Xenopus tropicalis: one gene and its partners. The protein of the gene in region 3 purifies or fractionates together with the protein of the main gene of each other region. This does not show direct contact. Links are inferred from orthologs where the notes say so. Each region holds a gene or a part of one and is shown on either strand. Other genes may lie near its edges. The genes, in order: sirt1, ube2o and fgf11.

Region 1 (3,649 bases), on a different chromosome or scaffold from region 3:
ATGCTTAGGTTGCAAATGTGTGTATACACTGGCCAATAATTATTTAAAACAAAATGTATCTGTTTTTGGTGGGTCATTATAAATATAATATATATTAATATAAATAAATTATAAACAGTAAGTGTTATGGGGCATCCCAAGCTTTAAAAAGGTGTACTAACTCTGCTTGCATTTTTGCCTTGTTTGGATCATTGCTCCATTTTGATATCCTATGCTTTCTTGTCAGTGACACCTTTCTCTTATGATAAATAAGTATGGGTAAGCATGGTCTACAAGCCAGGTGTGGATACAGTATCCCTTCAAAACATAAATACACTTCTCCAGTTATGGGGAATACAAGGTAATTGCAGAAATACTGAAAAGATTATCTGTTTAAAAATATACAGAAAAGTAAATGCAGAACAAAACAAAAATACAACTTATCACATAAGATAAAATCTATCCATTCAACAAGACTAGCACACAGCAAGGTCTGTAGCCAATGTGATCTTTTACCTGGTGGTACAATTACCACAGATTCATATGGCTAGTTTTATAACAAATATAGACCACATGGAGGCTGATGTAGATTTTAAACAGAAATGTAAGCTTCACATTTCAAGGGCTGCTTAAATGGGCTTAAAAACAACCCACCTGACCTACAAACTGAAGTCACTCTGTTCCTATGTGACTGATTTTTGCAGGACTTACAATTTGCAGGTACAATAATGGCATTTTCTTGAAAACTATTATACACTCAATATTTGATTAATAGTTTTTAATAAAATAAAATACATACTTGGTATTAATGCTACTGGCCTGACTTTCAGGGAAGATCCAATAACAATAAGAAGATCAACCTCGTTTTTGTCATATTTCATAGCTCTGTGAAACTGTTCTGGCAAGTTTTCACCGAAAAATACAATGTCCGGTTTCATGATGGCAAGAGGCTCATCAGATGAACACCTTGGGCACCTTGGAACTATCTGTATGCAAAACAAAAATGTAACTGTTGACAAAAATATGAACTTCTGTAACAGCAAGTTGCAAATAGCTACAAAAGCCCAACTGTTCCAGTAGAGACATAGAATAATAAAATATTGCCATGGATATGCCGACCTATTTTTAGCAAATCACAATGCACTCACTGCAGTCAAGTAATGCAGACAACAAGTTGTGTAAAACAGTGGAATAACAGACATTACTGCTGCTTTATTGGCTTGCATAAGTGAGTGCATTTCTTTGCACTTGTTCCTACTACCAGCTTGCTGGCACAAATACAAATCTTTTACCACTAGAACTCTAGATCCAGACTTGAGTCAAAGCGAACCTCTTCCAAGATCAATGATACATTATAAGGAAAGGTACATTCACATTTACAGTATAATTGGCAGAATACTGCAGTCTTAACTAGGAGTTAAAAAACAAAAAATAATAGGTTGGCTGTGACCGAGCAAAACAAATATGAAATTCAGATCTCTTATGTAACACAAAATGAGAGGAAACTAGAAAGACTTGTTATTTAGCTAGCCCAGGGTAGAGGATGAACCTAGGCTGGGGGCGGCCATTTAAAGGTATCTTCTAATAAGTTAACACCTATATATCTTCTACTAGAAAGCAATTGTTTAAGACTTTTTAAATAACTTTTGTGTTCTACTGGTGCTATTTATTAACTTGTGTACTGCTGTGGAATTGGTAGCAAGTGGACAAAAAGAACTGTCACTACTGATTCACATAGTAAATAGTTGAGTTTTTTTTTACTCCATAAGCTCAACATTCTGCTGCATTACATTTTTTTGAGAGGTGCCAATATAAGTCAGTTAAACAGATATCCCAATGGCTATTTATTGGTTGCTTCCCCCATTGCTGAAATGCTTTAAGTGTTAATATAACCTCCTTTCTGATGAGCTCAGTCAGTTGGCTTACATTATAAAAAAAAAAAAAAAAATAGCACATAAACAATATCTTAACTGGTAAAAATAAATATACATTTATTTTTTAACAGACATACCATACTCCAAAATTTTCCCTCTTAGACTTATAAGGCAATGAAACCCCAACCTCACCTTACCAGAGAACTGTGCACCATCCTTTATAGAAAGCAGGGGGACCTCAAATCCCAGAATCCATAGCGCCACAATGAAACAAGATGAGGAAGGGGTAGCATTGCATTATAAGCCTATGCCAAAAGCCATTTACTCATTAAAGGGAAACTGTGGCTAAATTTGTTAAAGCGCCCCACACACCACAGAAACCCCTAATACACCTATCACTGTAAACTGTTCCTTCAAAAAGTATAAATAAATACCATTTAATAAGCTAAAAACCCAACAGTTCTTCTCTTTCTGCATCATTTGAAATCCTGCCCAGGGAGGAGGGACTAAAACATTGATGCTTACAGACAGCATTCAGGAACTACATACCCACAATGCATTGCACTGTGATGTTCCTTTCCTTATTGACATAATCTGTGCAGGGAATGGTGGGATGTGGAGGATGCAGGCAGAAAGCAGGCTAAGGACAGTCATCTTCTGTTATATTTTATTTTAACCTCAAAGTAGTCAGCCGGATCAGCAGGAAAATAGGGGGCCATGCTTAGGTAAAAGTTCCAAACCAGATTATTACGTTACAAATGAAAAGGCTGCAATATTTTTTTAATTGATGTATCCTGCAAAGTTGTTTGAAAGTATGTTTACTTTTTAAAAAGCATAAGTTGTGTTTGGGTGGAAATGCTGTACAGGTATAGGACCCATTATCCAGAATGCTCGGGACCAAGGGTATTCCGGATAAGGGGTTTTTCCGTAATTTGGATCTCAGTACCTTAAGTCTACTAACAAATCAATAAAACATTAATTAAACCCAATAGGATTGTTTTGCATCCAATAAGGATTAATTATATCTTAGTTGGATTCAATTACAAGGTTCTGTTTTATTTATACATAGAAAAAGGAAATCAGTTTTAAAATTCTGAATTATTTGATTAAAATGGACTCTATGGGAGACGGGCATTCCGTAATTCGGAGCTTTCTGGATAACGGGTTTCCGGATAAGGGGTCCGATACCTGTACTGTATAATTTTAAACTTAATAAATAAATCTCATTAAAAAAATGTATTTCTGATTAATGCAATAAATCAGTGTGTTACCTGATTAAATATGTCCTCTCTAACAGCTTCACAGTCAACTTTGTATTTACATACAAGACAAGATGCTTCAGCAAATGATCCTATAAAAGATGCAAAAACAAAATGAAATGTAGTATATATTTTTATTTCAAACACAATGCTATATCTTCAGAAAAGCTGAAAGGTAAATCACGGCCTGCTAAAGCCTGTAAACAATAAAGTCACTTGTTTAAAACAGATTTCTTATTTGTTGATCTGGGTAATTACCCCTCAGCATATACTGTATATTCAACATGTACAGGAAACTGTATATTCAGCATAGGTCCATTATTATATATGCCTTAGTGCTAACTGTAGCACTCACATGTGGCGGCACTAGTTTATGTGTAGCATCACCTTGGTTGTGGCATCACAGAAGCCCAAGAAAATGGAAGCACATGGTGATATGGGGGTCTGCTACAAAAGTACACTGCTATGTTCTAAAGATAAAGGTAACCTTTTTAACTGACTTTAGATTGAATTGTTAGGGGAAAATAAACACAACCT
Region 2 (3,649 bases), on a different chromosome or scaffold from region 3:
TCGGGCATGCCGTCGGTAGTGCCCATACACGGGCCGATTAGCTGCCGAATCTGTCTAAGGGGCCAATATCGGCAGCTAGAATCGGCCCATGGATGGGGACCTTTACTCTTGGTGACTTCTGTTGCCATTTCATTGTGCCCATTGTGCCCCACTCATGAGTTTCCACCTGAAGTCCTTTCCCCCCATACTGTATAGGAAGCTCTCATATACGGTATGGGGGGGGGGGGGCAGTGTGTACCCTAGCTATCCCAATTCCAACCTCACCAGGCCATCCGGCTAATTACCCCCCCACCTGCTCCAAGATACCCCAAGGGGGTGCCCTACCCTAGTGTGGAGCCGTGGCGCTTGCCGTGCTGGACCCTGTAGTGCACTCATGAATAATTACTTTAGCTCATGAATAAGTAATGATTTAGTGGCGACACGGAAGGTCGAAGGTCGGGACCGCCCATGCAGGCGGCACCCGGTGCTTCAGGGAAACGTCTCCCACCCCTTATAGTTTATTTCTGGTGCTTGTAGCCGGTTAATCTCCTGGTAGAGCGCCCGTTTCCTGCTCAGTGTGTGATGCTTACGTATATGTGCGTGTAACACGCGTGTGCGTTCATTCTCCCCCCCGCGTTACAGGTGCAAGTCACTGAATTACGAGTTACTTGGATCACAAAAAGCTTTTGTCTCGGCGGCACCGATTCCATGGACCCCCCACCCGCTGTGATTACTCAGGAGAACCTGTCTAGGTGAGTCCAACCTGAGCCAATGGGGTGGGAGTTTCCAGTGCACCCAAACTGTTCCTCCACTAGAGGGCGATATGGGCAACTCCATGAGCTGCTGTTCTGTTTCCCCTCAGAGTGAAACGACTGGGCTCCTTCGACCACACGCAGAGGCAGCTGGGAGAGCGCTGTCTGTACATCTTCCCCACTAAGGTGGAACCCACCAAAATTCTGTGTGAAAGTCTCGAGAAGAACTGCCTGCTGGGGGAGGTCACCGTCACCAGGAAGGTAGGGCCACTGAAGGCTGCAGAGGTAGCGGCCCAAGCAAAGGGTATTAGCTGGCACTGGCATGGGGGGGTTGTTTATCATGGTAGGAGATGTAACACCTGATTTTCTGTCTCACCATTGGTCCATACACAGCAGGTGGAAAAGCTACGGGAGAAGCAGATAGTCAAGATAATCTCATGTACCCAGGATCCCTCCAACCCTACTGAACTCCTCAAAAAAAACTCCACAGTGCCCCCGTCGTATGAAATACCCACAGCAAGGGCAACCGAGGAAGATCTTGTCTCTGCCAAGCTGGAAGGGGAACCCCCCGAGGAACCGAACGTTCCGGAGTGCCCAACCAAAGAGCAGCCTTTGGGCACCTTCCGGGAAATATTCCAGGGCCTCCAGCTGCATTCCTCGGAACAGGACGCCGACGATGAAGCCGCAGGGGATACCGACGAGACCAGCTCGGTGACTTCCTCGGCCAGTTCTACGGCTTCTTCCCAAAGTGGCAGCGGCGCTGGGCGCAAGAAGAGCATCCCCCTGTCCATCCGGAACCTCAAGAGGAAACATAAGAAGAAGAAAAAGAGCAAAGTATACAGAGAGTTCAAACATGGCGACAGGTTGGTATTAGTAATGGACCCTCCCAGAGTGCCAAGCAAAGGGCAGCTATGTAGCTGCAGCGCCCCCTCTGGTCGTTTTACATTGTCATCTATGGCTGTCCCTGCAGGGTGGCTGTCGAGGTTATAACCACTGTGACCACGGCTGACGTTATGTGGCAAGATGGGAGCGTTGAGACCAACATCCGCTCTAATGAACTGGTACCGATCCAGCATCTGGATAACAACGAGTTCTGCCCCGGGGACTTTGTAGTCGACAAGAGAGGTCAGTAATGTTAGATGCACAGAGACAGAGCAAGGGGCATACGGGCAGATGAGTGGGGCAGAGACAGAGCAGGGGGCATATGGGCAGATGAGTGGGGCAGAGACAGAGCAGGGGCATACGCGCAGATGAGTGGGGCAGAGACAGAGCGAGGGGGCATATGGGCAGATGAGTGGGGCAGAGACAGAGCAGGGGGCATATGGGCAGATGAGTGGGGCAGAGACAGAGCGAGGGGCATATGGGCAGATGAGTGGGGCAGAGACAGAGCAGGGGGCATACGGGCAGATGAATGGGGCAGAGACAGAGCAGGGGGCATACGGGCAGATGAGTGGGGCAGAGACAGAGCAGGGGGCATACGGGCAGATGAGTGGGGCAGAGACAGAGCAGGGGGCATATGGGCAGATGAGTGGGGCAGAGACAGAGCAGGGGGCATACAGGCAGATGAATGGGACAGAGTGAGGGGGGGCAGAGACGGAGTGAGGGGCAGAGACGGAGTGAGGGGCAGAGACGGAGTGAGGGGCAGAGACGGAGTGAGGGGCAGAGACGGAGTGAGGGGCAGAGACGGAGTGAGGGGCAGATGAGTGGGGAGAGTGAGGGGCAAATAACAGTAAATATGTGGGTTTAAGACAAACAGATTTACAGAATGACGCTCTCCGGTTCATCTGAAATAGCCTTTTCCTTCTCTCTCCCCCAACAGCCCACGCTGCCCAGGACCCCAGTATATACGGAGTGGTGCAGTCTGGGGATCACACGGGCCGTACTTGTGTGGTAAAATGGATCAAGCTGAATTTGAATGGGGACGATACGGAGGTGAGTTACGGAATCGCTGTGACCCGACATGTCCCTTCCCTGAGCCAGAACTATATTTTATGGACCGTACGGCACGGGGTTCTGTTATTTCTTTGTGTTCAAAGGTTTTTGTCGATTTACTGATTAGTGGCCGTCCTGCTTCTCTGGGCTGTGCTGGGCCCGCCATGTTGGGCAGGGGTGCAAGACTGTTAGCCGGGTGATACTGTGTGCCCCATCATGCTCTGCTTCAGCCATACACACAAACATGTCTCTTACTGTTTCTCAGCTTGTTGGGGAAGAGGAGGATGTCAGTGTGTATGACATTGTTGACCATCCAGATTTCCGATTCCGAGCCACAGACATAGTGATCCGCATTGGCAACTCTGATCCAGAAGCCTTTCCTGATGCCAGCCAGGTGGGAACTTTTTATTCCAGATGCCGTTACCGGTGGCTGTTACATTTATTTAAGGTGATTAAACCCCCTTTCCCTGTTTTGCAGCCGTCGGTGGGGCAGGTGGCTCGGGTGGACGTGAGCAGCAAAGTCGAAGTGATCTGGGCTGATAATTCCCGGACTATTGTCCTCCCACAGGTAAGTGTGTTGTATAAATATTGGGGCCCACCCCATCTCTGATGTCACAAAGGGGGAGGGGTGTAGCAGGCACACACCCACTGATAGGGGCTGATGGTAGAGGAAGTGGGGAAGGAGGGTGGAAGGAAGAACTCATACTCGCCCTGTGGATATTGGGTCCTGTGGATACTGGGTCCTGTGGGTTACAGGCCGCATTCTCTGTTCTGGAGACTGCTGCACCTACAAATTGTTTCCTTTTGACTCCCCAGCATCTGTATAACGTGGAATCCGAACTGGAGGAATCCTTTTATGACTCCGTGGACAGCAGCTCCAGCGGCGCCTCGTCTGATGAATGGGAGGATGAGAGCGACAGCTGGGAAACGGACAACGGGCTGACGGAAGATGAAATCCCTCGGGCGGCGGGGGGGGAGGAGGCGGC
Region 3 (4,348 bases):
ATCTGCTCATCTCCAGGCTAAATGCCCTAAAGCCTTGTCTCCCCTGGCAACTAGGGTGCTCACTGGGCCCTTGCCCTTGTATCTACATGGTTGGCACCAGACTATTGCTCTTCAGGGTAGGACATCGCAGCCCCCCTTGGGGGTTTCAATTAGATTTAATGAACGGTGGTTCTTAACAAGCCCCATACCTGAGATGACCATAAGACCAGGAGATGAGATAACCAACCCCTTTGGTTTAGTCTAGGTTACTCTAATATTGACTTGAACATCGTGACCAACCTCTCATGTCTACCTCTAAAGGTGGCCATACACCTATGATCTGCTTGTTTGGTGAGGTGGGCATATGAGTGGATCGTCTGTCGATATGCCCACCCACAGTGCTAATTCAATTGTTTGGCCCTAGGGCCAAATGTTCTCATTAAAATGGCACGTATATGGGTCATCGGGCCACATCTACTGATGCATTTCCTGATCCAATGGTAAAATCATACCTGCCCAATTTTAGGCCAGATATTGGTCAGGTAGAACCATTGGGGGTGCACATACACGGGCAGATAAGCTGCCAAATCAGCCTGAAGGACTCAAATTGGGAGCTGAAATCTGCCCATGTATGGCCACTTTAAATCTAGATGGTTCTAGGACCTTGTAACCCCCTGGGGTTTCAATTAGATTTTCTGAACAGGACTTCTTTTCTGACTGTAGGTGGTTCTTTACAAGCCCCCATACTGGAGTGTAGCAGATCATATGACCAACCCCCTGGGTTTAGTCGAGGTTGTTCTAATATTGACTTTCGAAGATTGTGACCAACCTCTCATGTCTACCTTTAAGTCTAGGTGGTTCTAGGACATTGTGACCCCCCCTGGGGGTTTCAATTAGATTTTCTGACTCTAGGTGGTTCTTGTCGAGCCCCCATACTGGAGTGCAGGTGGTGAGATGACCAACCCGGTAAGTAAAGTCTAGGTTGTTCTAATATTGACTTTAGGAGATTGTGACCCACCTTTAATGTCTATGTCTACCTCTAAGTCGAGGTGGTTCTAGGAGATTGTGACCTCCTTGGGTTTTCACCTGGATTTTATGAACAGGGCCTCTTTTCTGATTTCAAGTGGTTCTTAACAAGCCCCCATTGAATTGTAGAAAATCAGATGACCAACCCCCTGGGTTTAGTCTAGGTTGTTCTAATACTGACTTTCGAAGATTGTGACCAACCTCTCATGTCTACCTCTATTGTCGAGCCCCCATACTGGAGTGCAGGAGATCAGATGACCAGCCTGTTGAGTACAGTTTAGGTTGTTCTAATATTGACTTTTGAATATTGAAGATTGTGGCCAACCTTTCATGTCTATATCTACCTCTAAGTCTAGGTGGTTCTAGGTCATTGTTACCCCCTTTGGCTTTCAATTAGATATTCTGAACAGCGCCTCTTTTCTGGCTCTAGGTGGGTCTCAACAGACCATCATGCTGCAGTGTAGAAGATGAGATGATCAACCCGTTGGGTTTAGTCTAGGTTGTTCTAATATTGAGATTGTGACCAACCTCTCTGGTCTATGTCTGTGAGAACAGGCTAAAAGAATGAGAAGCTCCATGTGTTTGAGTTGAGTTTGGTCTTGGTTTATACTCACTGTATGGGTTTCCCTCTTCTTTTGAACCTTGGATGGTTCCATCTGGGAGAAGTTGAAGATAAAATCCAACTCTACTGAGCAAGCGAGTGATAATGCCTTTCAGCTGAGGCTCTATGGGACGGATTGGAGGGAAAGGGGGTAAAACATAGGAAGATGGGGGGGGGGGGGGGCGGGGAGAGGGATATTAATGCTCGTACCTTAACCCCTTCAATACAATCACAACCCTTTTCCTCTTCTCCCTCTAGAACTTTTTAATCATTCTGTCTCTTTCTCCTTCCGAATGCCCGTGACCTCCTTTCTTTCATGTTTAGATCCCATGGGAGCGAGCACTTCAATCCATTATACAGACAGCGCTGGGGGGGGGGGGGGGGATGGAAGGGGCAGCCCGAGGGGGAGAGGCAATGGCACTTCTTGGGGTGGGGGAGGGACAGCAGGGGAGAAGCAGGGACACTGAGTGGCACAGAGAAGCCGATGGCACAAAGCGAGTGGCACAACGGAAGGTGTTGGTTGAGCAAAGAACCACTGGGGATGATGGGAAAGCAGCAAAGGGTAACTGTGCAGTAACAGTAAGTTGGGGGGTCAGTAACGGAGGAGCGGAGGATTGGGGGTCTGTCATGGAGGGGTGGTGACCTAGAAATTAGGTGTGAATGGGGGGAAGTACAGCAGGAGGTTCCAGTAACTTGCACTCACTCACACTCACAGACAACACTCACTCACTAAGCCCCAGCACTCACCGGAGTCCTTCTCTTGTGTCCCTAGTTGGGCCCCACAGAGCCGGACCTTGGAGACCAGGATGAGAAGTTGTTTCTGACACAGAGACTTGGTTCCTCGGGGGCAGACTTTCCTTTGGGGGGGCACGGGGCGAGGTCCAACCGATTCCCTCACCTCTCGCTTCTGGCGAATCAGAGAGCTTGCCAAGGCGGCCATCCCCTGCGCAGCCCGTGTGGCCCCTACAGCAGCTCCCTATGCGCAGCCCACATCCCCCCCCCAGTGACTGAGCCCAAGGGAAAGAGTGGGGGGCTCTGTCCCACTAATTTGCCTCCTGGTTAGGGGGGTCCAACGGATCCATCGTGGGCTCTAGCAGGACCTTGTCCCCCGGAGTTCCAGTCCCGTTATCCTGTCAGTGTGTGTGTGGGGGAGCCTCTCCCTTTCCTCAACGCTCCCTGGGCCCCCCCAGCCCTCTCTCCGCCTCCCTCCTCTGTGCAACTGGCAGCCGCCAAATGTATGGGGGGGGCAGTCTGACAGTCGGGCGTGTGTGAGAGCCAGGAGATTCCAATCAGTGTGTGGGGGGGGCACCTTGTTTCCCTCTGCAACACTCATGTACCCACCCCCCGACCCACTTACACACCCACCCACCCATACACTCACCCACTCACTCATACTCACTCACCCATACACCCACCCACCCATACACTCACCCACCCATACACTCACTCACTCATACTCACTCACCCATACACCCCACCCACCCATACACTCACCCACTCACTCATACTCACTCACCCATACACCCACCCACCCATACACTCACCCACCCATACACTCACCCATACACTCACTCACTCATACTCACTCACCCATACACCCACCCACCCATACACTCACCCACCCATACACTCACTCACTCATACTCACTCACCCATACCCCACCCACCATACACTCACCCACCCATACACTCACCCATACACCCACCCACCCATACACTCACCCACCATACACTCACCCATACACTCACTCACCCATACACCCACCCACCCATACACTCACCCATACACTCATACTCACTCACCCATACACCCACCCACCCATACACTCACCCACTCACTCATACTCACTCACCCATACACTCACCCACCCATACACTCACCCATACACTCACTCACTCATACTCACTCACCCATACACCCACCCACCCATACACTCACCCACCCATACACTCACCCATACACTCACTCACCCACCCATACACTCACCCACCCATACACTCACCCATACACTCACTCACTCATACTCACTCACCCATACACCCACCCACCCATACACTCACCCATACACTCACTCACTCATACTCACTCACCCATACACCCACCCACCCATACACTCACCCACCCATACACTCACCCATACACTCACTCACTCATACTCACTCACCCATACACCCACCCATACACTCACCCACTCACTCATACTCACTCACCCATACACCCACCCACCCATACACTCACCCACCTATACACTCACCCACTCACTCATACTCATCCATACACCCACCCATACACTCACCCACCTATACACTCACCCACTCACTCATACTCATCCATACACCCACCCATACACTCACCCACCCATACACTCACCCACCCACCTATACACTCACCCACTCACTCATACACTCACCCATACACTCACTCACTCATACACTCACCCATACACTCACTCATACACTCACCCATACACTCACTCACTCATACACTCACTCATACACTCACCAATACACTCACTCACTCATACATACACTCACTCACCCCTACACACCTACCCACTTACTCACTCAGTTACACTCCCATCAATGAACCCCACCTGGCCCAGTATAGGAATAAAGGGGATACCCTGTTATATATTATAGGAGCCCCCCCCATGTGCCCCCCAATATAAACCCTTACAGACAGCTGGGGGTGAATTCCCATGACTGACGCTGGTTCCGTGCCAGTGGTTCCAGCCCAAACAC

Evidence for each region.
Region 1: the proteins of fgf11 (region 3) and sirt1 purify together in Homo sapiens (affinity purification with mass spectrometry; 3 studies listed by BioGRID and IntAct, with this or other methods). This does not show direct contact. The link is inferred for Xenopus tropicalis from reciprocal best matches to the Homo sapiens genes FGF11 and SIRT1.
Region 2: the proteins of fgf11 (region 3) and ube2o purify together in Homo sapiens (affinity purification with mass spectrometry; 3 studies listed by BioGRID and IntAct, with this or other methods). This does not show direct contact. The link is inferred for Xenopus tropicalis from reciprocal best matches to the Homo sapiens genes FGF11 and UBE2O.

The regions. Positions count from the first base shown.
Region 1 is NC_030683.2:38,247,631-38,251,279, reverse strand, and holds part of sirt1 (NAD-dependent protein deacetylase sirtuin-1), read right to left. Parts: intron 3,205-3,649; coding exon 3,125-3,204; intron 966-3,124; coding exon 779-965; intron 1-778. UniProt on the Homo sapiens protein: NAD-dependent protein deacetylase that links transcriptional regulation directly to intracellular energetics and participates in the coordination of several separated cellular functions such as cell cycle, response to DNA damage, metabolism, apoptosis and autophagy.
Region 2 is NC_030686.2:45,261,704-45,265,352, reverse strand, and holds part of ube2o ((E3-independent) E2 ubiquitin-conjugating enzyme), read left to right. Parts: intron 1-621; coding exon 622-731; intron 732-841; coding exon 842-992; intron 993-1,112; coding exon 1,113-1,594; intron 1,595-1,701; coding exon 1,702-1,856; intron 1,857-2,550; coding exon 2,551-2,663; intron 2,664-2,928; coding exon 2,929-3,057; intron 3,058-3,141; coding exon 3,142-3,231; intron 3,232-3,479; coding exon 3,480-3,649. UniProt on the Homo sapiens protein: E2/E3 hybrid ubiquitin-protein ligase that displays both E2 and E3 ligase activities and mediates monoubiquitination of target proteins. Negatively regulates TRAF6-mediated NF-kappa-B activation independently of its E2 activity.
Region 3 is NC_030679.2:152,810,148-152,814,495, reverse strand, and holds the start of fgf11 (fibroblast growth factor 11), read right to left. Parts: upstream 2,933-4,348; 5' UTR 2,547-2,932; coding exon 2,354-2,546; intron 1,731-2,353; coding exon 1,620-1,730; intron 1-1,619.